Linked DNA regions of Callithrix jacchus. The protein of the gene in region 3 purifies or fractionates together with the protein of the main gene of each other region. This does not show direct contact. Links are inferred from orthologs where the notes say so. Each region holds a gene or a part of one and is shown on either strand. Other genes may lie near its edges. The genes, in order: HBS1L, EXOSC10, EXOSC4 and DIS3L.

Region 1 (7,619 bases), on a different chromosome or scaffold from region 3:
TTGAGCCCAGGATTTTAAGGCCAGCCTGGGCAATACAATGAGATCCCATCTCTACAAAAAATTTAAAAATTAGCCAGGCATGGTGGCACTGGCCTGCAGGCCCAGCTACTCAGGAGGCTAGGGTGACAGGATCACTTGAGTCCGGGAGACTGCAGATGCAGGGACTGGTGATTGTGCCACTGCACTCCAGCCTGGGCTACAGGGTGAGATCCTGCCTCAAAAAATTACTCTTTTAATGAGTGGAACCCAGTAAATGGTTAATTGCTTGAAGTCACACTATTGCCGTGTTACAGAACCGAGTTATTTGAACTCTTCCTGTTTTCAAGTAATCATCCATTATGAAAGAAATCAAGGCCCTATATATACAGTGCTATTTTCATTGCTTTAATCATTTAGAGTTACTGTGATATGCAGCACAATGTTTTGGTCAACCATGGACCGCATATATGATGGTAGTCCCACATTAAAATTATAATAGAGCTGAAAAACTCCCATTGCCTAGTGATGTCATAGCTGCCACAATGTCATAGCACCATGTATTACTCATGTATCTGTGATGATATTGCTATAAACAAATCTACTGTGCTGCCAATTATTTAAAAGAATATCGCATATGCAATTATGTACAATAATTTATAACAACTATGATAGTGGTTTATGTACTATTTTTCACTTTATAATTATTTTAAAATATATCCCTTGCATTTATTAAAAAATAAGTTAACTGTAAAACAGCCTCAAGCAGATCCTTCAGGAGGTATCCAGAAGAAGGCATTGTTATCACAGGAGATGGCAGCTTCATGCACGTTATTGCCCCTGAAGACCTTCCAGTGGGACAAGATGTGGAGGTGGAAGACAGTGATATTGATGATCCTGATCCTGTGTAGGCCTAGGCTAATGTGCATATTTGTGTCTTTGTTTTTCACCAAAAAAAAGTTTAAAAAGTAAAAAAAAAAAAAAAAATTTAAAAAGCTTACGGGATAAGGCTATACAGAAAGAAAATATTTTTGTACAGCTATACAATATGTTTTTGCTTTAAGCTAAGTGTTAGAAAAGAGTCAGAAAGTTTAAAAATTTTAAAGTTTATAAAGTAAAAAAAGCTACAGTAAGCTAAGGTTAATTTATTATGAAAGAAAAATATATTATTGAATAAATTTAGTGTCCCCTGAGTGTACAGTGTTTGTAAAGTATACAGTAGTGTGTAGTAATGTCCTAGGGCTTCACATTCACTCACCGCTCACTCACCAAATCATCCAGAGCAACTTCCAGTCCTGCAAGCTCAATTCATGGTAAATGCCCCATACAGGTGGATCATCTTTTATCTTTTATGCCCTATTTTTACTGTACCTTTTCTATAATATGCTTAGATCAGTTTAGATACACAATTACCACTGTGCTACAACTGCTGACAGTATTCAATACAGGAATATGTTAAACATGTTTGCAGCCTTGAAGCTACAGGCTCCACATAGTCTAGGTGTATAATAGATGTTACCATCCAGGTTTGTGTAAATTACACTAATATGTCCACAAATGAAGCTGCCTAACAACTAATTTCTCAGAAATATCCTTATCATTAAAGGATGCATGACTGCAAATTATATTTGATTTTTTGTAGCATTCTTACTAAGAATCATGTAATTTACAAATTGTAATGCTTTTTAATACTATTAAAGGAAGTAAATAAACCACTGGGTAAAAATACCCAAGCTTCATTATTTCTGCATAAATAAGCTCTTTAAAAAGATACAGGACTTGAATATATCGAAAGACATAAGGCAGATTTTGAAATATTCATGCCAACTTATCAATAAAGGAAATATGAAGCTATACCTCAAGTCCTTTACCATTCCTTTTACAATAAAGAAATTCATAGCTTTTATACATAGTTTCTTTGTAAGAAATTTAACAAGATTTTACAAAGTACAGGTAAAAAGATCATGAAAAATACAATATTGCTGTTTTCTTGTTCAAACTTGATAAAGGTTAAAACTTTCCATTTTAAAATATTTTAAAAGTTAAAATCCTAGAATTGTAACCTCAGCATTAGGAAATTTTATAAAGTACAGTCAGTACACTATTGTGAAGAAAATATTAGTTACCTGGGCTGCTCCTGTAATCATATTTGGAATGAAGTCCTTATGGCCTGGAGCATCCATTAATGTAATAACTTTGGTTGTGGTTTCAAACTTGGTCATACCAACATCCATGGTTACTCCCCTTAAACAAAACATAAAATGGTTAGAACGTACTATGTAATAGTGCTATAGAGTAAATTAATAATAGTCTACATGATTATCTAAATTCTTAGGTAAAAATGGAAATTTTATTTATAGACCATTATTTTTGAAAAATTAAATTATCAATCAGGGCTGGAATGTCTGGTATCATAGAAGTGCATTCATATGGCTTTAACAACATGAAGTTGTGTTCGCAGTAAGAGCTCAATAAAAATGATAGTTATGCCCTCTTACCTTATTTTTTTTTGTAAGAAATAGTGTAAACTGTGAACAAAGAAACATATATGGGGACAACTCTAAATGGGGGAAAAATACTGCACATGAGAAAAGATAAATGAAAAATTACCATTACCAAGAGGTAATTTTCTTCATGTTCTATGCTTATGCTTCACTAGTTATAGAAATGAGCTTCTAAAACTTTCATTTGCAAGGCTGGTCAGTATGTTACATATTTAGAAAACACAAGATATCAAAGCAGATGCTTAATTTTCAAGAAACGGAGAGACATGAACAGCAGACTGCTTTTTATCCTATTTAATTCTTCTTGTAGACCAACACAGTGCCTTTTTCAGCCACAAAAAAATATAGATTCAGATTAGTGAAATGCTTGGGATTAGAAGTTTTTCAAATTTCACATTTGTTTGGATTTGGAATATTTGCATATACATAATGAGATATCTAAGGGATGGGACCCAAGTCTAAACACAAAATTCATTTATGTTCCATATACACATTATACACATAGCCTGAAGGGACTCTTATGCAACATTTTTAGTCGTTTTGTGTGACCTGTCATATGAGATCAGATGTAGAATGTGCCACTTGCGATGTCATGCCAACACTCAAAATGTTTCAGATTTTTGAGCATTTTGAATTTCAGATTTTCAGATTAGGGATCCTCAGCCTGTATAAGAGGCCTAAGGAGGTCTACAGGGACACTCAGTCATTCTAGGCCTCAGACATTTAGATGGGGAAATCATGCAGGCAATAAACGAGGTCTGCCCCCGAATCATCCAAAGTAATGAATAATAGTACTCCCTTTTACTACCAAAAGAGTACAACAATTAGAATAACAAACTATAGGTTTGCCCTAGCAATAAAGTAACTGTGGGTCTCCTTAGTCAAGACATTTGAGTTTAACCTGAAAGCCTGGGCCATCCAAGTTTGACAAAGTGATGCTTAATTCTCTTTAATAATTCCCAATAATCCAAGCACCACGGGCACCTTCAGAATAATGGCGAACTAAGACTTACTCCGAGATCCTCTGTAGACTGACCTGAGTATACTCTGCTGACCCAGCTCTGATTTCAATTTGTAACCCTAAGGATATGAAATGTCATTGCAACCCAAAGGATATGAAATTTACTCATTTCTGTTCTTCAGTATCTGAGAAGAACAAGGGATTTACAAATATTTAACATGGTGGGATAAGCAACATATTACATTTTGTAAATGCTATTAAGGAACATATGGTGGTGAGCTAAAACTCCCATTATATACCTGAAAGCATCTGCTGTCTATGGAATGAAGAAATATTCTAAAACTTATGCTGAGCAATAAAGAACCAGCAGCAGCAAAAATATGAAAACCAATCAATAGATAACATTATCAAAAAAGCTAAAATGACTGACCATTGTAGGATTCAAATCAATTATTAGTTCACTTGCCAGCTCAACTAAGATACTAGGTAACTTAGTTAACTTCAAGTGAACCATTCTAACTTAAATATACTGTTCTCAATGTCTTTACCTACTTATTAGATAACGCAGAGAAAACTAAAAAACTACATACTTTAATAATGTGCTTGTTAAACTGACAGGTGAAAATTATTTAGGCTTCTAATATTGTATCATATACAATTCCATTGTTTTCCATAATTGGCAACTGTCCAGCTAATTTTTCTTACTAGGATAGAAAACAGGCCTGTGATACTATATAGAATTAAAGACACCCGCAAAGAAAGAGAAAACATTATGATACAAATTCTGGTTTACCAGAAGAGGTAAGGAATACTGTGACCTGCTCTACAGAGCATTATCTCATATATTATAATGGATACTATGCAAGACTGCAAGAAAATACATATTAAAAAGGCATGAATATCCAGATACATTCTCCAATAATCAGACTGAAGACATCAGGGAACACAGTTTAATCTCCTTGCTAATTTAAGACTTTCACAGGACTTGGTTTGTAAATAGTTATTATTTTGACACAGTTGATATATCTGCCATGACATTATCAAGGTGTCCTTTGGCTCTCCCACCCTAGCATGATATATACTGTCACTCTAAATATACTTCAAAAGAAATACTATTCTTTGGCCAGAGTATATTAGTAGCTGCATATTCCTATTAGAATCTCCCCAAAATTAGCACTTAACACAGTAACAGAGAAAGATAAGTAACTGACTGCATTATAGCTACAGAATTACTTGTTTGCTGTCTCACAAAAACAGAATATATAAAGTATAAAAATGAATTATTTAGTAATTTGAATTTGCTGGTTACTTAGATTCTAGACAAAAGAGGTTTTACTACAGTTACATTTCCTTTGTAAGCTGACATGAAATTAAAAGTCTTACTTTTAATTCAAAATCAAGACAATTTGACATGTACTTAAGGAAGTAACAACTGAAACTTATCCCATAGAATAATTAGCTTATGATTTTTACTGTTTTTTTTTCTGCATGGCTTTTGTTTTACTTTGTTTCTGACAAACATTCTTTTAATCTATTTCCATAAAGTTTCGAGGAGTAAAAACAGTATGTAGATTTTCCCTGATATTTAAAAGCTATTTTCTAAAAATAGTCTCTAACGTATTTCATATGTTTTACAAATTTGAGACATATTATACACTTATTTTAGAAGACTATATGACTTCAAACTGAAAATTACAAAATATAGTGACTACCTTTCCCTTTCTTCGCCAGTCTCATCCAAGACCCATGCATATGCAAACGAAGCTTTGCCAGCCTTTTTAGACTCCTGTTCATACTTATGCATAGTTCTTTTGTTTACATTACCCAGAAGATAAAGCATATGGCCCATCAGAGTACTTTTCCCAGCATCAACATGACCTAAAGAAAATTGATTCAGGATTAATACCAGGTACATTTCCAGACGTTCACACTGAGGCATTGCATACATGTATAACTCACTATTTCATGTCAGTGGTTTACAGTAATAATGCCAGTATTTATCAAATGACAGTTAAAACATCTAAATAGAAAAAAAAAGAGCAAGTCTCTTTACAGAGGGGGTAAGTTTCTCAGATTTTTGGAAATTAAAATTGTCAACAAGACATGCCAATTTCAAAATGTTCACAAAACAAAAAATCCCACAACCAAGTGTAATGACTTCTTCGGTAACTTGGCATTCTCTCTCCTCAGGTGACTAGAAAGCATTATGAGGCCGTGCCTCCTCGCTTTCTGTCCATTCCACCTATCGAGAACTCGGAATTTCCATGCGGCCACAAGACAGTGGGCAGGGTAAGGCATGGAGGCTGACGATCCAGAGGGACAAAGGGCATTACCAATGACCACTAAGTTGAGGAGCTGCTTCCCTCCTTGCCGCTTCTCCAGTTCCACCTTCACATCTATTTGCTGTCTCAGCTTGCCAGACTTTCTCATTGATGCTGGGGCTAAACTCTGCTCTTCTGAGGCTTGAATCATGTGGGGTGGATTAGCAGATTTAGAAGCAGTCTCAAGAACATCAGAAGCAGCAATGCTGACATCTTCACTGGGCGGTCCCTTTTGAGGTGTGTGGAAACTATGACCATTTTCTTCAGAAGTTACTCTACAGAAGGCAGACAGGAAAAAAGCATTTTAAACCAACTCGACTGATGTTCTATAATGTCAGAAGGGCAGAAAAACTGTTTCTTCATAATTCTTTATACTCCAGACCAAAAATAATCTCTGCTAAGTAGCTAGAGTCTGTTAAGGTGGAAATGATAAGTAGCTAGACTCAAACCACACAAATACAGATGTGGAAGATCCCAAGAGAAAAACAGTGTACCAAAAAATGAAGGTATGAAGAAAATATCTTTAAAAATAACTGAAATTCAAAATCTAAGCCTTGGCGATATAATCCATCCTATCAAAATCAATGGTATAAAGGGGATATTTTGTAAAAATGGCACCAAATATATTACTGGAGTAGAATTAGTACTAAAATATAGTTTTACCCCAACTCATCCTTCCAACATGATAAACTTATGATCCTTTTTATTATCCCCCTCAGGGGAGATATCTCTAAATGACTACAGTTCATAAACATTTTTGACAGTGGAGCTTTAATTAATTAATTCAACAAACACCCGATTTACTAAAAACTACAACATATACTAGGGACTGATGTTGAAAAGAAAATGACATAGAAATGAAAAAGCTAACTACCACTCCCAAAAGATTACAATCTAGTGAGGAACTCAGATATGTAAAGGAGAAACAAGACTATCCAGCTTAACTTATTCTTTCCTTGAAAGAATATAAAATCCTTAGAACAATAACTTGTGTATTCTATGTATTTCCTCTCTCTCCCTCGATGGAAAAATCCCATAACAGAATTAAATGGCATTCAAGATTAAGGAAAAAAAGGTCAATTATTCTGATAACCCAATCCTAATTCAGAAGGAAAAAAGACATACATGAAGATTTTTGAGACTGAATCAGAATTCTAAATTATTTTAACAGGTGATAAAAATTAAATTAAATTTTTCATTCATCCAATCATTCAATTAATGTATACTGAATGTGTACTATGTCTTAGAGAAGGAGTCCTTTCCTTCACTGACTTTGAAATCTATAAAATCCAAAAATTGAACTAGGTGATGATTAACATTCTTCCCAACCAAAACTCATGATACCGCACTAATTTAGATAAAAGAATATTGTAAGGGAAAAAAATAAGGCTCCTGAGTTTGTGTTTCTTAAAAAATATAATTTTGGAAAAGGGAGAAAAGAAAGAAAAAAAAGGATATAAAAATCTATTGTTTATAGTAAAAACCTATTGTTTATATTTGATAACAATGTTTCTTTATCAATTTGGCAGACAAAATACATATAATTTATAAGTAACAGCTTTATTGAACAACTGAAAATTCTGAAAAATTTTAGAACTTGAAAATTAATGGCTTCAAAGCAACTCACTTCCCTTGTCTTTAAGAACTCCTGGAAGGATTCTAGAGACTGTGATGAGAACAAACACGAGCTACCAAGGTGTGGTGACTTCCATTTTCACAAGATATTTGAAATTCCAGGTGTGTTTCATATCATCTGTTTGCCACAATGATCCAATTCATTCAATATGAAAATTCAAAAGAGTTTAAAAATATTTCAGTCATTAGAAAATTTAACTAATGATTCCATGATTTGCTGAC
Region 2 (7,605 bases), on a different chromosome or scaffold from region 3:
AAAACAAAACAAAATAGAAATTTCTGACTGAGCGTGGTGACTCATGCCTGTAATTCCAACATTTTGGAAGGCCTTGGTGGGCGCATCACTTGAGGTTAGGAGTTCAAGACCAGTCTGGACAACATGGTAAAACACTATCTCTATTAAAAATACAACATTTAGGTGGGTGTGGTGGTGGGCACCTGTAATCCCAGCTACTTGGGAGGCTGAGACAGGAGAATCACTTGAACCTGGGAGGCAGAAGTTGCAATGAGCTGAGATCACTCCAGCCTGGGTGACAAGAGCGAGACTCGGTCTCAAAAAAAAAAAAAAAAAAATTCCACCTGTGGGGCCAGGTGCAGTGGCTTGTGCCTGTAATCTCAGCACTTTGGGAGCCTGAGTAGGGGGATGGCTGAGGTAGGGGGATCACGAGGTCAGAAGTTCAAGATCAGCCTGACCAACATGGCGAAACCTCATCTCTCCTAAAAATACAAAAATCAGCTGGGTGTGATAGCAGGCAGCTGTAATCCCAGCTACGCAGGAGGCTGAGGTAGGATAACTGCTTGAATCCAGGAGGCGGAGGTTGCAATGAGCCGAGATTGCACCACTGCACTCCAGCCTGGACAAGAGCAAACCTTGGTCTAAAAAAAAAAAAAAAAAAAATCCACCTGTCCGTTTTTGATCGCAGAGACTACCATTTTTTGGCAGTGACTGTTCTTTGTCCTTTAATGTCTGTTCGTACCACATTCTGCAATAATAGAACACTGGGCTTTTAGCTGGATACATGGATGACTGAAATAGTAACATTTCCTAGTATCCCTTGCTGTGGTCACCTGACTCAGTGCTGACCAACAGGAAGTAGAAATGAGCAGTATCTTATTCAAAGACTGGGTGCTCAGGCTGGGCACGGTGGCTTATGCCTGTAATCCCAGCACTTTGGGGGGCGGAGGCAGGTGGATCACGAGGTCAAGAGATCGAGACCATCCTGGTCAACATGGTGAAACCCTGTCTCTACTAAAAATACAAAAAATTAGTTGGGCATGGTGACGCAGGCCTGTAATCCCAGCTACTCAGGAGGCTGAGGCAGGAGAATTGCCTGAACCCAGGAGGTGGAGGTTGCGGTGAGCCGAGATCGCGCCATTGCACTCCAGCCTGGGTAACAAGAGCGAAACTCCATCTCAAAAAAAAAAAAAACAAAAAAACAAAAAAACCCCCAAAGACTGGGTGCTCTTCTTTCCTCCTTCCAGCTGACTGGAATGAGAATGTAATAGCTGGAGCAAGGGCAGTCACCCTGCACCATGAGGTGGCAGCCTTGTGTTTGAGCTGAGGATAGTAAAACAGGATAGCAGCCTGTGTTTGATGATCATGAGCATCATACTAGCTCTGGACCAACTATATTTAAAAAAGCGGAAAATCATCTCTCTTGTTAAGTTACTAATAGTTTGGCTTTTCTGTCACTTTCAACCAGTCCAGTCCTAGCTAATACAAACTCAAGCCTATCTTAGGACAGGGGTGTCCTGTCCTGTTCTGCTTGACTGAGAGCTCTCTGACAGCAGCGATTTGTGATTTAGCTTGGTACACCCCAAAGGGTATTATATACAGTTGGCAATCTCAATAATTTGTGGGATGGATTTCAAAGAAAAACGGTTCTTAGTTTAAGTATTTGTAAAAAAATAATGGCATTCTGTGCTTTCTTGATTTAACAGCCCATCTCAGGATTAAAATAACATGAAATTCCAAAGAAATAATCAGAGATTGGGTCACAGATTTATATAAGAAGTTCACTGCTGCATTATTAAGAATAGTACTGAAAATGAAAACCTAAATGTTTAACATAGGGGTTGACAAAAATAAATTTTACATTGAGAAAAGTCTCATAATATAAACTTTAAGGTGAAAAATAATAGAAACATAAAGTCGTTTGTAAATTTAAAAATACATCTATATACACACAGCAAAAGCTTATAAGGAAATAAAGCAAAATGTTAAAGATTATCTCATCCAGGTGTAGTGGCTCATGCCTGAAATCCCAACACTGGGAGGTCAAGACGTGAGGATCACTTGAGGCCAGGAGTTCAACACTGGCCTGGGCAACACAGCCAGAACCTGTCTCTAAAACATAAGAAAAACTACTCAGGTGTGGTGGCATGTGCCTGTTGTCTCAGCTGCGTGGGAGGCTGAGGTGGCAGGTTCACTTGAGCCTGAGAGGACAAGGCTGCAGTGAGCCGAGATCACAACACTGAACTCCAGACTGGGCAACAGTGAGACCCTGTCTCAAAAAAAGGAAAAAAAAAAAAAAAAAGAGCACCTTGGTGTGGTGGGACTATCGACGATTAAAATTTTCTCTTCGCATTTTCTTTGAGACGGAGCCTCACTTTGTCACCAGGCTGGAGTGCAGTGGCGCGATCTCGGCTTACTGCAACCCCTGCCTCCTGCGTTCAACGGATTCTCCTGCCCCAGCCTCCTAAGTAGCTGGGACTATAGGCACACACCACCATGCCCAGCTAATTTTTCTATTTTTAGTAGAGACGGGATTTCACCATGTTGACCAGGATGGTCTCGATTTCTTGACCTTGTGAACCACCCAACTTGGCCTCCCAAAGTGCTGGGATTACAGGAGTGAGCCACTGGGACTGGCCTTGCGATCTTCTGTATTTCCAACATTTCTTGCAATGAACATGTTGTTACTTCTATAATCAGAAAAGAAACAAAGTTGATTTAAAAAAAAAGGTGTGAAAGGAACAGACTAGAGAACAGGTCCTCAGGAGCCATGGCTGATGCTAGAGTACCTTACCAGTTCCTTTCCCAATGGCATTTTTTACCAGTTGGCTCCATTCACGATACCTGAAGGCTTGAGAAGGAAGTGAAACGGCCCAGAGAACCCCCTAAAAGTGGAGGCGGATGACCACCACACCCTGTGCTCTGCAGGTGCTGCCTGCTTCTGAGTCCCAGGAATTTGTCTCGTATTCCTCCTTGGGTGTGGCTCTGCATTCTCTGGAAGTCATGGTAACCCCAGGGCACTTACCTGCCCAGACACCTGAAGATGATTGCCTAAACAGGATGGGGATCTATCCTTCCTGACAGAGCTGTGGCGGCAGCAAAATAAAAATCAGGAATCAACTTTCTTCCAGGAAGAATTTTTTTTTAATGGTTTAAAAATACGTCTGTACAAAAGCAGCACCGACATCTGGTGCTTCTGCTCCGTGGGCGCCACGTGTCTTCCAGGACTATCTCTGTGGCCAGTTGTACCTGAAGCCTCTGCAGAGACAGTACAAAAAAAACAGTTATTTCTTCTGGGTTGGTTGGACGTTCTCAGATGGTTTACAAGATGGTGCAAACCTTAATCATGCAGAACGGGGGAGAATGGTTTGTTCAGGGGTCTCAGGGACCTCAGCGGCCCACCAGAGTTGGCTGAGCTGAGCAACATCTAAAGGACACAGACCTGTCCTTCCTGCCCTTGGGCAAGTCCCCTGAGCTCAGCATTGGCTTATTAGGATGTTATGCTTTTAACAAAAACATTTGGACGAGTGCAGTGGCTCATTCCTGTAATCCCAGTACTCTCGGAGGCTGAGGCGGGAGGATCAACTGAGGCCAGGAGTTTGAGACCAGCCCAGCCAACAAGGCAAAACCCCATCTCTACTAAAAATACAAAAACATTAGCCCGGCATGGTGGCAGGCACCTGAAATCCCAGCTGCTTGGGAGGCTGAGTTAAGAGACTTGCTTAAACCCAGGAGGCTACAACTGCACTCCAGCCAGGGAGACAGAGTGAGACTGCCACAAGAGAGACCAAACCACTCTTCAACAAGGATAACCCACACATGCTTACTTTTTCCTCATTCCTAACAGGCTGGTCCAGGAAAATTTCACAACTATTCATGTCTATTTTCACAGAGTGACTCCAGGAAACAGTAACTGGAGAGCCAGGCACAAGGGGAATCTGTGTCCTGGGGCGCAGTGCCTGCAGACGTGATGTGTAGCACAGAGCTAATCACCTCCTGCCCTTGTTATCGGAGTGTCGAGGGGGACCTGGCTGTGGGAGTTTCTCTGAGTCTTCCTGTTGAAGCCCCTGGGCAGTGGCTCCTCAACTGCTCCCCACCAACAGCACCATGCACGACAGGTGCTCTCTCACTGGGCAACCTGGGCTGTGCAGCTATCCAGCACCACACACAGCAGGTGCTCTCTCATTGGGCTCCCTGGGCCACGCAGCTGTCCACCACATACCTGTCTGATTTTCCAGTTGGAAAGGACATGCTTTTGTTTCCCAATGACTGTTTAATTTTTTTGGCTGCAATACATTTCTGAAAAGATAAGAAACATTGAAGCTGGGTGCCACCAGGACCATAAGACATGCAGAAAAACACGCCTGGGCTCAGGCAGCCAAAGATTCTAGCAGCAGAGGTGTGACTTTTGATTCCCGGCAAGAGGGACATTTCTGTGTTTCTGAAGGCAAGGCTGCTCAGATGTGCAGCAAGAGGAACAGGAGGGCCTCAAGCAGCCCTGCCTCCCACATGTGGAACCTGCGTCCACACTGTCTGCCTGCCAGCGGCACCAACACCCACGTGGGGCGAATGCAGGCTTGTGCTGGCCCCAAACGGGGTGCTTTTGGCCTGCAGCTATAGTTCCCATGGTAGGAAACACAAATAATACCTTTAAAACCACACAGCAGCTTTTACGACCTCATTTTATGAGTTGCTGGGGTAGTTGATGGGTATGTCTGCACTTGGGAAGAAATGAGGTGAGAAAAAAGATATGCAAAGAAATAGATTCCTAGATGGGCCTGTCTTCTCAGCAGGGGAAGAGATCAAAAATAGGTGCTACCGGTGTGCTCAAATCCTCCAGGAACAGTTCTTACCTTGCCAGACAGGGTCTGTTTGTTTGGATCAAACTGGGAAGAAGCTTTGGATTTGCTTATTCCTGCAGGGTAAGAGATGAGAGAGCCCTGCAGTCAGGTCAGTGGGTTACCACACATCACAGGCTCACAGCGAGGCTGGGACCACGACACTTGGGGAAGCCTTGGCTGTCAGAGCGCAACACCCATTACGATGAGGGGCTTGTGGCTCATGTAAATGAACACATGGTGATCCTGGTCCCTGCAGGCAGTCCGAAGACCATGCCTGCTTCTCTTGGCTCTAGTCCTAGGACGTTAGGGACAGGTGGCTAGAGCAGTGGCCCCTGCATGTAAGGAAATGCATTCTGATCTCTGTGCTGGGTGACACCATCAGGAACTTGGGCTCCGAGGCGACACTCCTGTATAAAGCAACATTGCATGTTGCTCTGGAAGCTGCTGGAGCCGGGAATGCCATCTGCAGCCCCTTCAAAGCAGGCGGACTCTTACAGCCCAAGCAGCCCTAGGGCTTCATGTCATAGGCATTGAGATTTTTCAACAAACAAAATCTTTACCATGTGTTTTGTGTGTGTGTGTGTGTGTGTGTTTTTCTGGGCACGAGTTACAGTGAGGAAGGATGGAGTGCTGGTCCCAATGGAAGTGACAGGTGATCTTGCTAACCCACCACAGAGGCCACCCTGACAGTGAGTTCCTGTGAAGGAGGTGGTGATGGGGCTGCAGGCATCTTTCCACATTGCCATGGCCCCTCTGGACCACTCCAATAATTCCTGGCTAATGCCACGCCCTGTGCAGGACTGACTCGGCCACTGTGTTGCGGTCTCTATACTCTGTGTCTCCTCCCACCTGATGCATGCAGATGTCCCTGTATGGGCCCCAGAACTTCCTCACCAGCAAAAGCCTTGAAGTCTGACTGGCTGTAGTCGTAAGGTGTAAAATCTTTTTCTGGTGGCCCTGGGTCCTTTGGCTTCTTGGAAATTTTGAGTCGTTTCTTCTCCTGTTTCTGTTCTGGGGTCCTTGGGTCACTTGTTGTTCGCTCTCTCTTCTTCGCAGCATTTTCTAGCTATAGACCAGGAACACATGTGGGTGAGGAATAGGGAGGCGCATGGGAGAGGGAACCCCCCTGGCCTCAGCAGTAGCCAGGACCCAGCTGCCTAAGTGGTTAGAAGAACAGTCAGTGGCTGGGCCCACGTATAGGCTCACACCTATAATCCCAGCACTTTGGGAGGCTGAGGTGGGTAGATCAAGAGGTCAAGAGATCGAGACCATCCCGGCCAATGTGGTGAAACCCCTTCTCTACTAAAAATACAAAAAATTAGCTAGGTGTGGTGGCGCATGCCTATGTCCCAGCTACTTAGAAGGCTGAGGCAGGAGAACTGCTTGAACCCAGGAGTCGGAGGTTGCAGTGAGCCGAGATTGTGCCACTGCAGTCTAGCCTGGCGACAGATAAAGACTTTGTCTTAAAAAAAAAAAAGAATAGTCAGTGGTGGGAGAAGAGTAGTGGCTGGACATCCAGACCAACACTCAGGGTTAGTTGAAACAAATTCCTCACTGGACAATGACATGAGGTCATTTAAGAAAGACAAGCAGGTCAGGTGCAGTGGCTCACGCCTATAATTCCAGTGCTTTGGGTGGCTGAGGTAGGAGGACTGCTTTAGGCCAGGAGTCTGAGACCAGCCTGGGCAACACAGCAAGACCTGTCTCTATAAAAAAATGAAGAAAAGCTAGCCAGGCAAGGTGGTGCATGCTTGTAGTTCTAGCTACCTGGGAGGCCAAGGTGGGAGGATTGCTTGAGCCCAGGAGTACAAGGCTGCAATAATCACACCACTGTACTCCCATGTCACTATTTTTAAAAAAAGTAAATGGAAAAAAAAAAAAAAAAAAGAAAGAAAGAAAAGGCAGGGGGCAGGGGTTAAGAATTTGAGTGACAGCCTGGGCAACACTGTGAGACCGTCTCCACCAAAAACAATAACAAAAGATAGCTGGGCATGGTGGTGTGTGCCCGTGGTCCTAGCTACTTAGGTGGCTGAGGTGGGAGGATCTTTGAGCTCAGGAGTTTGAGGCTGCAGTGAGCTATGACTGTGCCACTGCACTCCAGCCTGTGTAACAGAGGTAGACCCTACTTCAAAAAACAAAAAAAAAACAAACATTTTGTAGGGTAGAGCGGGACACACAGGCTTCAATGCTGTAACTTCAGTGCCTTTTCTACTACTACTATAGTTGAGTGGTCTGGCATATTTACCACAAACGCAGAGGAAGAAGGGTAACAGGAATTACAGTATCAGCACTGTGGAGGTTTTGGAAATGAGGTGGACCCTAATGGCTAAGCTAAGTGACCTGGAAAGAAGGCAGCACTTAATATAAAGCACAGGGCAAGCCCCTAAGACACCTGAGGAAGACCCTGTCCATAAGCAGGGGCATCGTTTCTCAAAGGAAAAAGGAGAGAAAAGCTGGCACGTACCGCGGCCTGCTGTCGGACGGAGATGGCCTGCTCTGCTACAGCCCCGCATGCTTCCTTCGCCTGCTCCCGGGCAGCTGTAAGGGACAGAACTGTCTCTGGAGTTGCTGAATCCAGCAACCACCCTCCTCCATCTCCATCCTCCTCCAACTCAGCCTAGCCACAGGGCTTGTCACAGCTGATCCCCCGTCCCTCTCAGCTCCCTGGTCCCCCAACCTCTACAGGACAGGCTGCCTGGGACTGAGGCTGCAGTGCTCTGCCCACCTTCACCTACACGTGAGCTGATCCTCCCCAGCCCTGCCTAATCCTCTCCTGTGAACCCGA
Region 3 (8,222 bases):
CAACAACAGCCCCACAGCCTGGCTGTTGGTAGAGTCAGAGCCACAGGGCACGGTGAGCACAAGCGACTCGGTGCTGGCAGCACGCGGGGCCCGCAGAATGCCGTACACGTTGGTGCCTGACACCATCTGTATGGAGTATCGGAGGGAAGAGCCTCAGTGTAATCTTGTGGTAGGGGCCGAAGGTTCGCCGCCCCCCGACTTTCCTAGCCCTCCAATGCCCACCAGGGATTTCTCTCCCACTGAACTTTCCGGCCCCATGACATCCCCCAAGGTGATACCCAGCCCAGACCCCTCCCTCCAAGGTGCTTTCTGGGCACCCCCCCTGCCCCCCGCCGATACATAGCGCTCGTGGGTCTCATCTGGGAAGGGCAGTTTCCGGGAGAAGCTCTGCGTGTAGACCTCCAGCCCGACTGACCGCATGGTCCGTTCCAGCCAGGCCACTGGCAGCGCCCTGCAGACACGAAGGGAGCCACTGAGCAGAGCTCCGGCCTCAGCCACCACGGCCTGCGCCACACGCACTGCTCTGCCGCTCACCCCGACTTCCTGCGGTGGGCGGCGAAGTCCCGGGCAAAAGCCCGGGCACGGTCTCCGCCCGCAAACTGCTCCTCCACCATGGTGGAGCCCATGGCGTTCTCCGACATGTAAGTGCGCTGGGTCAGCGGCGGGAAAGCGAGCGCCAAGAACCAGGCGATGCCCGCCAAGTAGCTCAGCACGCTGTGGGAGAGGACGGAGGGGCACCGAAGCGTCAGTGGGTCCTGGGGCGCCGGCCCGAGCCAATCTCCGCACCCGGGGAAGACCGCGCGGGTCCGAGACTTAGACCCAGAGTCCGGCATCGGGACGCCGGACGGGAGAGCTGAGCCTGCGCCGGACACCCTCGGTGCTTCTAGGGGGCAGGAGCGGAGGGGCGCGAGCAGCCGGAGGGGTCCCGGCCCTCGATGGGGACCGCGCGAGTCCGGGGCCCGCGGGTCCCCGCCTCCCCGGACCCTGCCCTCACCACAGCGGCGCGTTGAGGCGCAGCACGAGGCGGGCGAGCGCGCGCCGGCGCACCGGGTCCGACAGGAGGCCCATGGCTGGGCAGGGCGGCGCGGCTACTAGCCCTCTCGCGCCTCCGACTGCCGCCGCGGCGCCCGTAGGCGACTCCTGTCAGACCCGGGGACGCGCGCTCGCCCGCACTTCCGGTCCCAGCGACGCCCGCGGCGGCGCGCATGCCCAGAGCACAGGGCGCGCCCCCAACGCTCTACGGCCGGCGCGCAAGCCCAGAGCAGCGGTCGGCCGGAGCATTGGCTGTGCTGGTGAAGGCGGGTTTCCGAGTTCGCTGGGCGCTGCCTCCAGGAGAGTCGGACCGGGAGTGCACCGACCCGGAGGCAGGCGGGTGGCCCTACGGCCGTGAAGAGCAGAGATGCCCGAGCTGGTCAGGGGACGGCTGGAAGGCCCGCAGGAGTCAGAGGCGATGAGCCGGGCAGGGGGTGGAAGGCCGGATGCCAAGCATGTTAGTGACTCAGGACGTCCCAGTGGAGTCACAGCGTGAGCCCAGCACCAAGGTTTCGAGTCAGATGACTGCAAAGATGCTGATGGCACTACTGGAGCTGGGGTGTGCGCAGCATAAAGTGGGGAGCATACCATCCCTGTCTGTGCCAGGAGACCCTTGGAATATTAGGGGAGAAGCAGCCCCAGGGTCCAGACTGCAGGAGCGGGTAGTCAGGGCTTGGCCAGATCTGTGGGTCAGAGGTGGATGAAGGCGGAGTTTGCTCAAGAAGAGGGTGCAGTTTGGGAAGCTGAGGTGGGAGGATCCCTTGAGACCAGCCTGGACAACAAAGTGAGACCTAGTCTCTACAAAAAAGCTTTTAAAACTAGCCAGGTGGAGTGGGGCATGCCTCTAGTCTCAGCTCAGTTACTCAGGAGGCTAAAGGGGGAGGATTGCTTGAGCCTGGGAGGTCGAGGCTGTAGTGAGCCGTGATCACACCACTGCACTCCAGCCTGAGTGACAGACCAAGACCATGTCTCAACAAACAAAAATGTGGTGGGCAGAAAGAGTCAAAGCTGAAGACTCCATATGAGAACAGGTTTTTTTGTGTGTGTGTAAGACAAAGTCTTGCTCTGTCACCCAGGCTGGAGTCCAGTGGTGCAACCTCTGGTGTGGGGTTTGGCCTCCCAGTTCAAGCAATTCTCTTGCCTCAGGCTCCCAAGTACCTGGGGCTACAGGTGCCCACTATCACACTAATTTTTATATCTTTGGTAGAGATGGGGTTTCACCATGTTGGCTAGGCTGGTCTCGAACTCCTGACCTCTACTGATCCATGAGAACACGTTTTTTGTACTTTTATTTTTTTAGATGGAGTCTTGCCCTATTGCCCAGGCTGGAGTGCAGTGGCACGATCTCGGCTCACTGCAACCTCCACTTCCCAGGTTCAAGAGATTTTCCTGCCTCTGCCTCCCAAGTAGCTGGGATTATACAGGTGTGTGTTACCACCTCAGCTAATTTTTGTATTTGCAGTAGAGATGGGATTTTGCCATGTTGGCCAGGCTAGTCTCAAATTCCTGACCTGAAGCAATCCATCTGCCTCAGCTTCCCAAAATTCTGGGATTACAGGTGTAAGCCACTATGCCTGGCTTTTGTACTTTTAGAGTCCAGGGTAAGCAGCAGGAAAAGCCCAAGGGGTTCCAAGCCATAGTCCACAGGCTGTGGGACATGGCTACCCACATCTCTAGGGTGGGTACCCAGAGCCAGCTGAGTTTTTCCTCAGCCCTTTGCTCAGGGCTCCCGATGTGCTGGAGTAAGAATAGATTCCTCAGTCTAATGGCCTGGCTCATCTTGCCAGGCCCTGCCTCTTACTCAGCTGCCTTGAGTCCTTACTGGGACATGCTGCTTTTTCCACCCAGGAACTATCTCTCCTCAACCCCCTAATCCACTGTTCTCTTCAGGGTTTCAATCAGGATATACAGAGATAGACAGTTCTCTATATAAGAGGGTCCCTGGTCATTCCCAGTAGCCAGTACCAGGCCAGGCTCTGCAGGGCTTCACATAGCTCCAAAGTGCTGTTGGGTGATCAAAGTACAGTGAGGAGTGTGTGGGCGGAGGAGGGTTTTATTCTGGACATGGGTGGCAGGGTGGTCAATCCCCCAGCAAGATAGAGGCCTCACGCACATGCTGCCGGACAACTCGGTCCAAGAGGATGTGCACATCTTGAGCAGCCTGGGCAGCAGCCTCCAACACCTGCTCCAGGTGGTCCTCATGCAGCCGGGCATCCATCTCAAGCAGCGCAATCTGGCCTGAAGCTGGCAGCAGGGCCAGGGCCAGCTGGGGGCCACCAGCTGCTTCCTCCACATGGCTGAGGTCTGCCAGGGCTGTGCCGTCCACGAAGCCAGCTGAGCACGCACACACAAAGTCTCTCATGGGTATGCCAGCATCCAGCACTGCCAGCGTGGCTGCATTCACACACGCTGCGTAAGTCCCACCATCTGCCTGTAGCACCTGCGAGGACCCCAGGGTGTCAGTTCATCAGACTCCCTCCTCAATCCCATCACACTCTTCCCTCCCTGGATTGCAGGCTGCAGCCGGCTCACCTGCACATAGATATCAATCTGGGAGCGTGGGTGCAGCTGTGTGAGGATGGCTGCTTCGAAAGTCTGGCGGAGTTGTAGGCCCATCTCACAGGACTTACGGTCCCCATGTGGCCGTCGCTTGCGCTCACCGGTGCTGAAGGTCGCTGAACTATATTGACAGTTCACTAGGGCCCTGTCTGGCAGGGCTCGAGCCCGCGAGCCCCGGATCTGGAAGAAGATGGACACATGAGCCAGGCCCACTTCTTCCAGCTCACACTCCACTGTACTCTGGGGGTCTGCCTCTCCTTTCACTTTCAAGGCCTCAGCAAGAGGCAACTACTTTACCTCCAAAACAAAGCCCCCTGTTTTGCTCGTTTTTCCTCCTGGCATGCATCTTTTAGTTGGCTGCTTTGTGTCCATCCTTGTCCCATTCCCTTCCAGCCCAAGTTTACAAACATCAAGGCTGATTCTATCTCACGTACACACTCAAATCCTAATTAACTTACGAAGGCGTTACATTACATGTGAAATAAAATCCCAAATCCTTTCCCTGGTCTACAAAATCCCAAGTCCTCACCTCCCCGGAAACACTCTACTTTAATTTGGAGTTACCCCCTTTCCCCACCAGCAGTCTTTCTGCTCTGCCTAAGTGCTATGCTTGTTTTCACCCCCGTGGTCTTCGCCCTCGTGCTTCCCTGCGCCTAGAAAGCAGAGCTCCCACAGCCATGCGCTAAGCACATTTTCAATACCTTTGCTGGCCAGGCACTGTTACAGCGCTGGGAACCGCAGTGAAACCATAGAGTTTCATGTAAAGTTCCTGTCTTTAGGAAGCTTATGTTCCAGCAAGGAAACAAAGGTGAACGTGCTTAAGCAAAACAGGCGTTTGAGATCGTAGGTGCACAAAAGACAAGGAAGGGTTTATTGTAGGGAGGGGAAGTACCGCGTGGATAAGGTTGTCTGGGGAGGAGTGACGTCGGAGTAGAGCTGAGAGGTGACGGGGCGAGTGGGGGAGCTGAAGAGCCGCAAAGAGAAGGGAGGGCGCAGGGACAAGCCGATGAGAAAGGCAGGACCACCGCTCAGTGCACTAAGGACTTGCGTTTACTCCGAGTGACATGCGGTGCTGAGCATCGGCTGTGTGGTCGGAGGCGCGCCGGCCGTTGCCCCTCAAGTCCCTGAGCCTGTGCTCAGCCCGGCTGCCCTGCGGCTCCGCGACCGCACGATTTCCCCTCCCACTCGCCTCGTGCGGGCCGTAGACCACCGCCAGCGCCTTGGTGTTGCCCTGCTCGATGTAGGCCGAGCCGTCAGCCTGCGCGAACACGCCCATCCGCGCCTGGATTTTGCGCAGCTCCCCGGCGCGCCGCCCGTCCACCCGGTAGCCCTGGTCCGATAAGAGCTCCAGCCCCGCCATTCCGCCCGGCCGCCAACTCCCTCTCGGCTTAGTTCTCTGAGCCGCTGGAGAACTGGAGAACTAGAGCTCCAGGCGGCTACGACTTCCCCGGATCTACGGTTTCCGGTGGTCCTCTGTCACTTCCGGGTCCGCGGAACTGCAACTCCCCGCGGCCCCGACTTCCCCGGATCTATGGTTTTCGGCGGTCCGTTGCCACTTCTGGTCCCGGGAAACTACAGCTAACCGCCGCCCCGAGGTCCCCGGATCTAAGATTTCCGGCGGTCCGTTGCCACTTCCGGTCCCGGGAAACTACAGCTACCCGCGGCCCCGACCTCCCAGGATCTACGGTTTTCGGCGGTCCGGCTCTGCTTCTGTCTCCGGGGAGCTGCAGCGGCTCTGTCGGGGAAGCGGGGGCTAGGCCCGCGGCCGTTCCCGGAGCTGTGCCACGGGTGCCAAGAAGTGGGCGCCCGCTGAAGGAGGAATTCCGAAGCCACGCCCTCGGGACCAATGGTGCCTGCATTATTCAGCCTTCCCCGCACTGTAAGTGTGAAAGTGGAAGGATGAACTTAGTGGTTGCAGCATTGACTGACAGGAGAAGAGAAGGCATTGAGGGGTCCTAGGAAGGTGACCGGGCTGGTGTCCCAGCATGGTCCACACCTGGCACCTCCATTCCTCCCTTGCCCTCCGTTACACCGAGCTCCCACACTGCAGTCAAGTGGGCCTCCCGTTTCCCTTTGAGGATGCTGATTCCTCATCCTTTCCAAAGAGGCGTTGTATGTCTGTTTATCTCTTGCCACCTAACCTCAGTGGCTTCGAATAACATGATTATTTTATGATGTTCTGCAGTCTGGTGTTACCTAGGCTCAGCTAGGTAGTTTGCATTTAGGATCTCTCCTGCAGTTCCTGCTAGATGGTGGCTGGGGCTGGAGCCATCCTCAAAGTTTTCTCCCTCATATCTTCGGTGACTGATGCTGGTGGCGGGCCAGGACCTCACGTGTGGCTGTTAGGCAGCACACCTACATGTGGCTTCTACATGCAACCGAGGCTTCCTTGCAGTATGGCAGTTGGGTTCCAAGGGTAGCCTTCCAAGACAACAAGGTGGGCGACGTGTGTGGTATTTTTATGACCTAGCTCAGAAGTCATATAGTGCCACTCTTGCCAGACTCTGGGGTCAAGTCAGTCAGACAAGTCTGCCCAGGCTTAAGGGATGGGGATCTATGACCGCCAAGGCAGGAGCGAAATACCTCAGCCTATTTCCATATAAATAATGAAGAAGAAAGTAACTAGAAATATAACCATAGTAGTTATTAGTTATTCATAGGTGATCTTAGTTATTTATAGGTGATCTTAATTCTTTTACTAATGCCTATCAGGTCGGAAGTGTGAACCTGGGGTGACATTGTGAAATGAATGACACTAAGGCAAGATGCTCTAAGCCCTCTGTCACGCCTAGGAAGGGCTGCTGGAGGGCACCTCGGCCGTGCGGCAGCTCCAGTGCTGTGAAAGCGCCCACTGTTTAGCCAGCTAGGGAAGGAGATGTCCAAGATGGCTGAGATGTCTCCTTCCTGGGGAAGTTAGGAGAAAACTCCACTTCTCCAAGCTCTTGTGGTAACGCCTGACAGTTGCCAGGAGGCCCACAGACATCAGGGGCTTAACTCTCTCTGTGTGATGCTGTGCTTCAGCGGTCACATACCAGGTCCACTCTCATGTTCTGCTTCTGCACCTGGCTTCTTTTTTTCTTAGGAAAGATAATCAGTAACAGTCATATAAATCTTAATGTTTTAGTTCTTTCTTGGTAAGTATGGAAAAGACGCTGATGAATTATGCTTCTTGCCTCACTTTGGGGGCCAGAAATTCCTGAGCCTCTACCTGAATGACACATGATGTACTTGACCCTATCACTGCCACGTACTATCCACCCTGCCCCCAGTCTCTGACCACCAAGGCCGCCACATCCTACCTACCTTGCCCCCAGATTTGCAACTCAATAAAAGTGAGAGTGTCCCGTCTGGCATTCGGGGCCACTGCTGGTCTCCACGACCTGGGTAGCAGTGGACCCCTGGGCCCAAACTCTCTTTTCTCTATCTCTGTGTCTTGTGTCTTTTATTTCTACAATTTCTTGTCTCCACACCAGCCAAGAGGGACTCACAGAACCCTGTAGGACTGGACCCTGCAGGGACCTGGACCCCACCCTTCAGTGGTATGAGTGTCAGCATGACACTAAGAAGAGCAGGTGAGCTAGGGCAATGCAGTCTGCTACAGGTGCCCAATTTCAGTAGTCACAGCATCCCCTCGAGGTGGTTCTGCTCTCCTGAAAGACAGAGGCATTCGAGTGAGTGAGTGAGTCACAGCCCTACTGCAGCTGGTCTGAGGCCATGATGGGTCACCATCCTCTGCCACTGGGCACCCCCGATTTCCCACCCTCTGCTCTGCAGACAGACACTGCTTACTGTGGAGCAGCCCAGGTGGTGCCACATCAGCCTACTATGCCATCCACCTCTTGGGTTCAAGTCTTTCTTGTATCTTAGCCTTCCAAGTAGCTGGGATTACAGGCACCTGCCACCATGCCTGGCTATTTTTTTTTTTTTTTTTTGAGTCGGAGTCTTGCTGTTACCCAGGCTGAAGTGCAGTGGCACCGTCTCAGCTCACTGCAACCTCCACTTCCTGGGCTCAAACAATGCTCCTACCTCAGCCTCCCAAGTAGCTGGGATTATAGGCAGTCACCACCATGCCCTGCTAGCCTTTTTCTTGTATTTTTAGTAGAGACGGGGTTTTACCATGCTGGTCTTGAACTCCTGACCTCAAGTTATCCACCTGCCTCAGCCTCCCACAGTGCTGGGATTACAAGTATGAGCCACTGTGCCCGGCCAATTTGATGTATTTTTAGCAGAGACGGGGTTTCGCCATGTTGACCAGGCTGGCCTCGAACTCCTAACCTCAGGTGATCCACCCACCTCGGCCTCACAGAGTGCTAGGATTACAGGTGTGAGCCACCACTCCCAGCCATGACTGGGTGGTTGTTGCGGCTGTCCATTGACAGTCCTTGCCACACGCAGGAAGACTAGACACCTAGGGAGTTCTGTCGGCTGCCCGGCCTAGTTGTGTAGCACTGGTGTTAGCGACTCAGGACAATGAGGACGTTGTCAGTCTTCAGCCTAAGAAGCCTAAAGTGGGCCAGTGAGAGCTGCTACTTCAAGATCAGTGGAACCTTTGCTGTGTTCCCTGGTGGAAGTGTTCACCTTCAGGAACTAGGGTCTCCAAACTGGCAGTATCCCAGGTTTAGAATCACGAG
Region 4 (7,619 bases), on a different chromosome or scaffold from region 3:
GGTGACCAAGAGTGACAGAGGGTCAGAAGCGGCAGCAACTTTAAATAAAGTGACTTCAGTGAAGTGAGGAAAACAGATGTGAGGGTGTTGGGGAAAAGCTGGATCCAGGTGGTGGAAAGAACAAGTCATAGGTGCAGCTGAAGCAGAAGGAAAAAGGAGAAAATGGCAGAAGGTGGCCTTAGCTGGGGGGACCCTGTAGGCCACGGTAAGGACTTTGGATTTTATTCTGAGTGAAGCAGGAAGCAGCCATTGAAGAGTTTTGAGCAGAGAAATGACAGGAGCCAACTCTCGCTTTCCTTTTTTTTTCTTTTTTTTGAGAGAGAATCTCACTCTCTTGCCCAGGCTGGAGTTCAGCGGCGCCATCTCGGCTCACTGCAACCTCTGCCTCCTGGGTTCAAGTGATTCTCCCACCTCAGCCTCTCGAGTAGCTGGGACTACAGGCGTGCGTCACTGCGCCTGGCTAATTTTTAGTAGAGATAGGGTTTCACCATATTGGCCAGGATGGTCTCCAACTCCTGACCTCAAGTGATCCATCTACCTCGGCCTCCCAAACTGCTGGGATTACAGGTGTGAGCCACCACACCTGGCTCCCCAACTCACTTTCTCAAGGATCATTGTGCCTCTGAGTGGAGAAAAGACTACACCAGGAGGGGGAAGGGTAGGAGCAGGGAGAACAGCCAGGAGGCTGCTGAGATAGTCCTGAGGTCACAGTGGACTGAAGTGGGAGAGCTGTGGGGGAAGTGTGGCAGGTGGCTGAATTCAGGCCACGCATTAGAGTTGGAGCTGCCAGCATTTGCTGATCAGTGAAATGATAACCCCAAGGTGTCTTGGGTTGATGAATTTGACCTTTACTGAGACTGGGGAACACACTGGGAAGAGCAGGTCTGGGGGTAAAATCAGGAGTCTGCATGGGACACGTTAAGTATGAGATGCCATTAGACATCCAGGGGCAGATGTCAAATAGACCACTGAGTACACAAGACCGGAAGCTGAAGAAGGGCTGGAGATACAAAATCAAATGACTGCAGGAGATCCCCGAGGGAAGGGAGTGCAGAGAACAGGGGATTCAACATGGGTCCCTTGCACGTCCAAGAGGACAATGAGATGGAGAGCCAGGAGAGGATGTGAGAAGAGCAGCCAGTGGGTGGGAGAACTGAGAGAAGTCCAAGGCAAGGCAGAAGCACTCTAGCCAAATGCTGCTGACCGTTCCAGCTGATGGGGGCCGACCAGTGCTCTGGCAATGGGATCACTGGTGACCTTGAAAAGAACAATTTGAATGGAGAGTAGGGGTTGGGAGATGTCGCAATGGCAGGTGTGAGAGACCAGCAGGGAGGAAGAGAAAACATGGAGTTAACCATACTTTCATGATAAGAGGCGGTAGCTCAAAGGGACATGGGACCCAGAGAGGATTTTTGGTTTGATTTTAAGATGGAAGCCATTACAGCACGTTTGGGTGCTGATGAGATGAAATAAACCTGCAGAGAGGCGAAACTGATGGAGGGGCAGAGACTATATCTCATGTTAGAAACTATTATTCTACAACCTGTGACTATAGTTAGTAACAATGTACTCTAGAGTGGATCGGCAACCAACAGAATGGGAAAAAATCTTTGCAGTTTACCCATCTGACAAAGGGCTGATATCCAGAATTTACAAAGAACTCAAACGGATTTACAGGAAAAAAACAAACAAGCCCATTCAAAAGTGGGCAAAGGATATGAACAGACACTTTACGAAAGAAGACATATATGAGGCCAACAATCATATGAAAAAATGCTCATCGTCACTGGTCATCAGAGAGATGCAAATCAAAACCACATTGAGATACCATCTCATGCCAGTTAGAATGGCGATCATTAAAAAATCTGGAGACAACAGATGCTGGAGAGGATGTGGAGAAAAAGGAACACTTTTACACTGTTGGTGGGAGTGTAAATTAGTTCAACCATTGTGGAAGACAGTGTGGCGATTCCTCAAGGCCTTAGAAATAGATATTCCATTTGACCCAGCAATCCCATTACTGGGTATATATCCAAAAGACTATAAATCGTTCTACTATAAGGACACATGTACACGAATGTTCATTGCAGCACTGTTTACAATTGCAAAGACCTGGAATCAACCAAAATGCCCATTGATGATAGACTGGATTGGAAAAATGTGGCACATATACACCATGGAATATTATGCAGCAATCAGAAATGATGAGTTTGTGTCGTTTGTAGGGACATGGATGAATCTGGAGAACGTCATCCTCAGCAAACTGACACAAGAACAGAAAATGAAACACCGCATATTCTCACTCATAGGCGGGTGATGAAAAATGAGAACACATGGACACAGAAAGGGGAATACTAAACACTGGGGTCTATTGGGGGGAAAAGGGGAGGGCCAGTGGGAGGGGGAGGTGGGGAGGGATAGCCTGGGGAGAAATGCCAAATGTGGGTGAAGGGGAGAAGGAAAGAAAAGCACACTGCCATGTGTGTTCCTACGCAACTGTCTTGCATGCTCTGCTCATGTACCCCAAAACCTAAAATCTAATAAAAAATTAAAAAAAAAAAAAAAAAAAAATAACAATGTACTGTATTCTTGAAAATCACTGAGAGAGTAGATCTTAAGTGTTTTCACCACACAGTGTGTGAGGTTAATACAGAGGTTAATTAGCTCAGTCTAGCCATTCTCCAATGTATTACATCAAAACATCATGTGATATACAATAAATATACATAGTTTTTATTTGTCCATTTAAATTAATTAATGAATTAAATAAAGGCAGTATTTCTGGCTTGCTAAAGAGAAGAAAAATATAATTCCACAAGAAAAATGGACACCGGAGTGGCTCTCCAGCGGGCTCACCCGTAGGCATGGGCTCAGTTGGGGATTCGCCCCAGGCTTTGTCGTCACTGTCATTCTCACACAGGGCTGTGGTCCTTCCTTTCCATTCATTTTTAGGGAGCAGCTCCACAACTACCACATCCCCATGAATCGAGCGGTTTCGAGCCTTCATCCCGTGGATTAGGATGTCACTGACTAAATCTGTGTTTGGGACAGCAGAGAAAAAAATCCATAAAGCTAGGGGAATGTCACACCAGTGAGGCATTCAGTGCATAATATATTCCAAGTGTAATCAGCACTTCTGCAAATAAAGCTTCTTCCTTTCAAAGGTAAAGTCAAACTTCTTTCGTTCTGCAGGCTAGGAATGAAGAATTGCTGGCACGGTGTCATACTGTATAATGAGCTTTCCTAAGTGCCACCCTCAATCATCCTTTAAAAAACACTCCCCCCTACCTCACCACCTTTTAAAAAGGTGTTAGTTCCCTGCATGCAATTATGTGAGCCTATGCTGGAATTCTGCCCAATACCTTCAGGATCCTACACAGCCAAGGGAGTGGTCAGTGGGCTGAGGAACTATAAATAAGGCAGAACCGACAGGGAGAATTCTGACTAGCAAAGGCCCATAGGAAGCCAGTTGCTCGCCGGGCACAGTGGCTCATGCCTGTAATCCCAGCACTTTGGGAGGCCGAGGCAGGTTGATCACAAGGTCAAAAGATCGAGACCATCCTGGTCAACATAGTGAAACCTCGTCTCTACTAAACATACAAAAAATTAGCTGGGCATAGTGGCGCGTGCCTGTAATCCCAGCTACTCGGGAGGCTGAGGCAGGAGAATTGCCTGAACCCAGGAGGTGGAGGTTGCGGTGAGCTGAGATCGCGCCCTTGCACTCCAGCCTGGGTAACAAGAGCGAAACTGTCTTCAAAAAAAAAAAGAAAGAAAGCCAGCTGCTCATTCTCCCTCAACCCAGCCATGCTCCTTTGACTAGCACGGTTTCTTTCTCACCCTGTTATTACAAAACTAAGAACGACACCTGATTATGATACAACTTATTTACATATTTTTTTCATTTTTATTACTTAAAAAAAATTATTCCACTAAAGTAATATATCGCATTGAAGCAGCACAAAGTAATATTTTAAAATCACATCCAAACTGCCTGGGCTACCACCACAAGTTCAGCTCCACCACTTACCAGGTGTGTGACCCTGGGCAAATTACTTTGCCTCTCTGTATTGTAGTTTAAATTTAATATGATAAAATCAGAAATTATAGGAAAAAAAAAACAACTAGGGGAAAACCCCCCATAATCCCACATACACAGTGTATATACGCATACAGGACAGGGCACATCTGACATGACAATTTCAACTTTGCTTTCTTCATTGTATAATGTCAGAACAAAAGAGTGGTATGGAAATTTATGTAAGGTTTATACTGAACCTGAATCTTTGCTGCTGGCTCCTTGAAGTCGAACAAAAGCTTCCATTTGGGCTCTGTGTTTGTTGACATTCAGAATTCCCTAAAATAAAAATAAAAAATCAATGTGAAAAATGTTTTTTTCTGCCTGGTTTATCTCCGAAAGGTCCAGTTTTTTAAAATGATGTGAAAACATCCCCATAATATTCTTTTAAGGTTTGTGATCCCTTTAGAAATTTTATATATATATATAAAATAATTTATATACATATTATATATAAATATATAATTATTTATTTATATATAAAATTATATATAAATATATAATTATTTATTTATATATAAAATTATATATAAATATATAATTATTTATTTATATATAAAATTATATATAAATATATAATTATTTATTTATATATAAAATTATATATATATAATTCTTTAGGAAAAAAATATATATCTTTTTTTTTTTTTTGAGACGGAGTTTCGCCGTTGTTACCCAGACTGGAGTGCAATGGCATAATCTCGGCTCACCGCAACCTCCGCCTCCTGGGTTCAAACAATTTTCCTGCCTCAGCCTCCCGAGTAGCTGGGACTACAGGCGCACACCACCATGCCCAGCTAATTTTTGTATTTTTAGTAGAGACGGGGTTTCACCTTGTTGACCAGGATGGTCTCGATCTCTTGATCTCATGATCCACCTGCCTCGGCCTCCCCGAAGTGCTGGGATTATAGGTGTGTGCCACCGCGCCTGGCCCTTTTTTTTTTCTAATATATATTTTCAAGACAGTCTTGCTCTGTCACCATCTCAGCTCACTGTAACCGCTGCCTCCTGGGTTCAAGTAATTCTCCTGCCTCAGCCTCCCAAGTAGCTGGAATTACAAGCATGCACCACTATGCCCAGCTAATTTTTTGTACTTTTAATAGAGACAGGGTATCACCATGTTGGCCAGGCTGGTCTTGAACTCCTGACCTTGTGATCCACCTCGGCCTTCCAAAGTGCTGGGATTACAGGCGTGAGCCACCATGCCTGGCTAGGAATAATATCAATCACTAAGATTTATTTTCTCCAGAGAAAAATACCATCATTTTGAACTACTCTTAGCTATACAAAGTGCTGAATGCACCAGGCTCTATCTAATGTAACTGATGAGCAGTCTTTTAAAAATCTTCTATCTTAAAATCTCCTCCCAGGAATGCTATAAACTTTACTACCAAGTTGGCAGCATTAGCCTCTCTAGGCATACTCATTTAAAATCCCCACACTTTCAGGGAGGGGCTTTGGAGTGCTGTTCTTAGATTGTGACTGACAATCTATTGAGTTGCTCATTAGAAATGTAAAATCCATGAAGGAACCGTTCTGTATCTTGATTGTGGTGGTGGATACACATACCTACGCATGTGATAAAACTGCACAGGGCTACACACACATGCACACATAAATGAGTGTATATAAAACTTGAAATCTGAAGAAAAATTGTATCTGATTGCGTCCCAAGACCCTGACAGCATTTGGGTTAGGATCCTGGGAGGATCAGAGAGAGGCCCTTGAAAGGGGCAGAGAGAAAATGGCAAAGGAGGAAAGGAGCTAAACGTCACCAATTTTACAATATCGCCAAACCTCCAGACCTTGACTGAAAAAGATGTGTTTTTTCCTAGTGACAGGAGGCATTTACCAGGCTGCCTCCACATTCTGCTTGTGTGATGCTCAACATATAACAGAATTGAGGACTTCATCGTAGGGTGACTTCAAGCTGGACAAGCAGCGTCCACAGAAAGAATGACTCCCAAGTCACCTGAAACATCAACAGCCCTGACTCATGCCCATCTTGTTTGCAGTCTGTGAAATCAGAGGCCTGTGACAGCAGACAGTAAAAAGAGAAGAAAACACACTGGCTGGTCCTGACAAATTCTTTTTTTTTTTTTTTCCTTGAGACAGGTTCTCACTGTTGCCCAGGCTGGAGTACAGTGGCACAATCATGGCTCCCTCAACCATCCAGGTTGAAGTGATCCTCCTGCCTCAGCCTCCCGAGTAATCTGGGACTATAGGTGCATACCACTACACCTGGCTAATTTTAAAACTTTTTGTAGAGACAGGGTCTCACTATGTTACCCAGTCTAGTCTCCAACTCTTGGGCTCAAGTGATCTACCAGCCTTAGCCAGAGTGTTAGGATTATAGGCATGAGCCACCACTCCCAGCCCTGACTCATTCTAAATTAGCACCCTCACCTGGATATAGCGTCCAGATTTAATCCCAGCTTCCAACACTTCCAGGGGAAGATGTTCTGGATACTCCTTCCCATGGCTCTCCTGACTCTCATTCTCTCTCTCCCGTCGAGACTGAAGGATAGAATCACAAAGTTCGCGGGCAGCTTTTAAATCAGGCCAGAAATTGTCCAGGTAATTCTGTATTTAATAAAAGCACAGAGAAACACGGTCAGAAGGTGCTGATTCTTCATCATGGTACTACTACAGAAACTCCTGACTAGGAACTGCTGGCCTGCTGCTTTGAAGGTGTATTCAGTGAGCAGAACTTCCTGAGCTTCACTCACCGTTCATTCTCTACCACCACATTAACCCTGGAGCCTGCCAAGAGTAGAGATGGGGTTTCACCACATTGGCCAGGCTGGTCCCCTACTCCTGACCTCGTGATCTGCCTGCCTTGGCCTCCAAAAGTGCTGGGATTACAGACATGAACCATGGTGCCTGGCTTTTTTTTTTTTTGAGATGGAGTTTCGCTCTTGTTACCCAGGCTGGAGTGCAATGGTGCGATCTCGGCTCACCGCAACCTCTGCCTCCTGGGTTCAGGCAATTCTCCTGCCTCAGCCTCCCGAGTAGCTGGGATTACAGGCACGCACCACCATGCCCAGCTAATTTTTTGTATTTTTAGTAGAGACGGGGTTTCACCATGTTGACCAGGATGGTCTCGATCTCATGACCTCGTGATCCACCAGCCTCAGCCTCCCAAAGTACTGGGATTACAGGCGTGAGCCACTGCGCCTGGCTTTTTTTTTTTTTTTTTTATGAAGGAGTCTCCTCTGAAACCAGGCTGGAGTGCAGTGGCGCAATCTCGGCTCACTGCAACCACCGCCTCCCTATTCAAGTGATTCTTCTTCCTCAGCCTCCCGAGTAGCTGGGACTACAGGTGCGTGCCACCATGCCTGGCTAATTTTTGTATTTTTTTTTTTTAGTAGAGACAGGGTTTCACCATGTTGGTCAGGATGGTCTTAATCTCTTGACCTTGTGATCTGCCCGCCTTGGCCTCCCAAAGTGCTAGGATTACAGGCATGAGCCACTGTGCCTGGCCCTTTTTTGTTTGTTTTTTTAGAGACAGGGTCTTGCTCTGTTGCCTGTACTGGAGTACAAA

What was found.
Region 1: the proteins of EXOSC4 (region 3) and HBS1L purify together in Homo sapiens (affinity purification with mass spectrometry; 3 studies listed by BioGRID and IntAct, with this or other methods). This does not show direct contact. The link is inferred for Callithrix jacchus from reciprocal best matches to the Homo sapiens genes EXOSC4 and HBS1L.
Region 2: the proteins of EXOSC4 (region 3) and EXOSC10 purify together in Homo sapiens (affinity purification with mass spectrometry; 9 studies listed by BioGRID and IntAct, with this or other methods). This does not show direct contact. The link is inferred for Callithrix jacchus from reciprocal best matches to the Homo sapiens genes EXOSC4 and EXOSC10.
Region 4: the proteins of EXOSC4 (region 3) and DIS3L purify together in Homo sapiens (affinity purification with mass spectrometry; 5 studies listed by BioGRID and IntAct, with this or other methods). This does not show direct contact. The link is inferred for Callithrix jacchus from reciprocal best matches to the Homo sapiens genes EXOSC4 and DIS3L.

What each region holds. Positions count from the first base shown.
Region 1 is NC_133505.1:141,711,353-141,718,971, forward strand, and holds part of HBS1L (HBS1-like protein), read right to left. Parts: intron 6,038-7,619; coding exon 5,775-6,037; intron 5,320-5,774; coding exon 5,154-5,319; intron 2,221-5,153; coding exon 2,103-2,220; intron 1-2,102. UniProt on the Homo sapiens protein: GTPase component of the Pelota-HBS1L complex, a complex that recognizes stalled ribosomes and triggers the No-Go Decay (NGD) pathway.
Region 2 is NC_133508.1:48,940,367-48,947,971, forward strand, and holds the end of EXOSC10 (exosome complex component 10), read right to left. Parts: exon of another isoform or gene 7,359-7,605; coding exon 7,285-7,358; intron 5,887-7,284; coding exon 5,715-5,886; intron 4,895-5,714; coding exon 4,833-4,894; intron 4,279-4,832; coding exon 4,202-4,278; intron 3,238-4,201; coding exon 3,207-3,237; 3' UTR 3,101-3,206; downstream 1-3,100. UniProt on the Homo sapiens protein: Catalytic component of the RNA exosome complex which has 3'->5' exoribonuclease activity and participates in a multitude of cellular RNA processing and degradation events.
Region 3 is NC_133517.1:53,540,026-53,548,247, forward strand, and holds EXOSC4 (exosome complex component RRP41), read right to left. Parts: upstream 5,067-8,222; 5' UTR 4,952-5,066; coding exon 4,781-4,951; intron 3,772-4,780; coding exon 3,565-3,771; intron 3,473-3,564; coding exon 3,146-3,472; coding exon of another isoform or gene 3,113-3,145; exon of another isoform or gene 3,070-3,112; intron 1,716-3,069; coding exon 1,578-1,715; 3' UTR 1,419-1,577; downstream 1-1,418. Other genes in the region: GPI-anchor transamidase component GPAA1, read right to left, coding at 1-126, 340-451, 535-714, 995-1,068. UniProt on the Homo sapiens protein: Non-catalytic component of the RNA exosome complex which has 3'->5' exoribonuclease activity and participates in a multitude of cellular RNA processing and degradation events.
Region 4 is NC_133509.1:13,358,157-13,365,775, reverse strand, and holds part of DIS3L (DIS3-like exonuclease 1), read right to left. Parts: intron 6,659-7,619; coding exon 6,482-6,658; intron 4,355-6,481; coding exon 4,276-4,354; intron 3,037-4,275; coding exon 2,857-3,036; intron 1-2,856. UniProt on the Homo sapiens protein: Catalytic component of the RNA exosome complex which has 3'->5' exoribonuclease activity and participates in a multitude of cellular RNA processing and degradation events.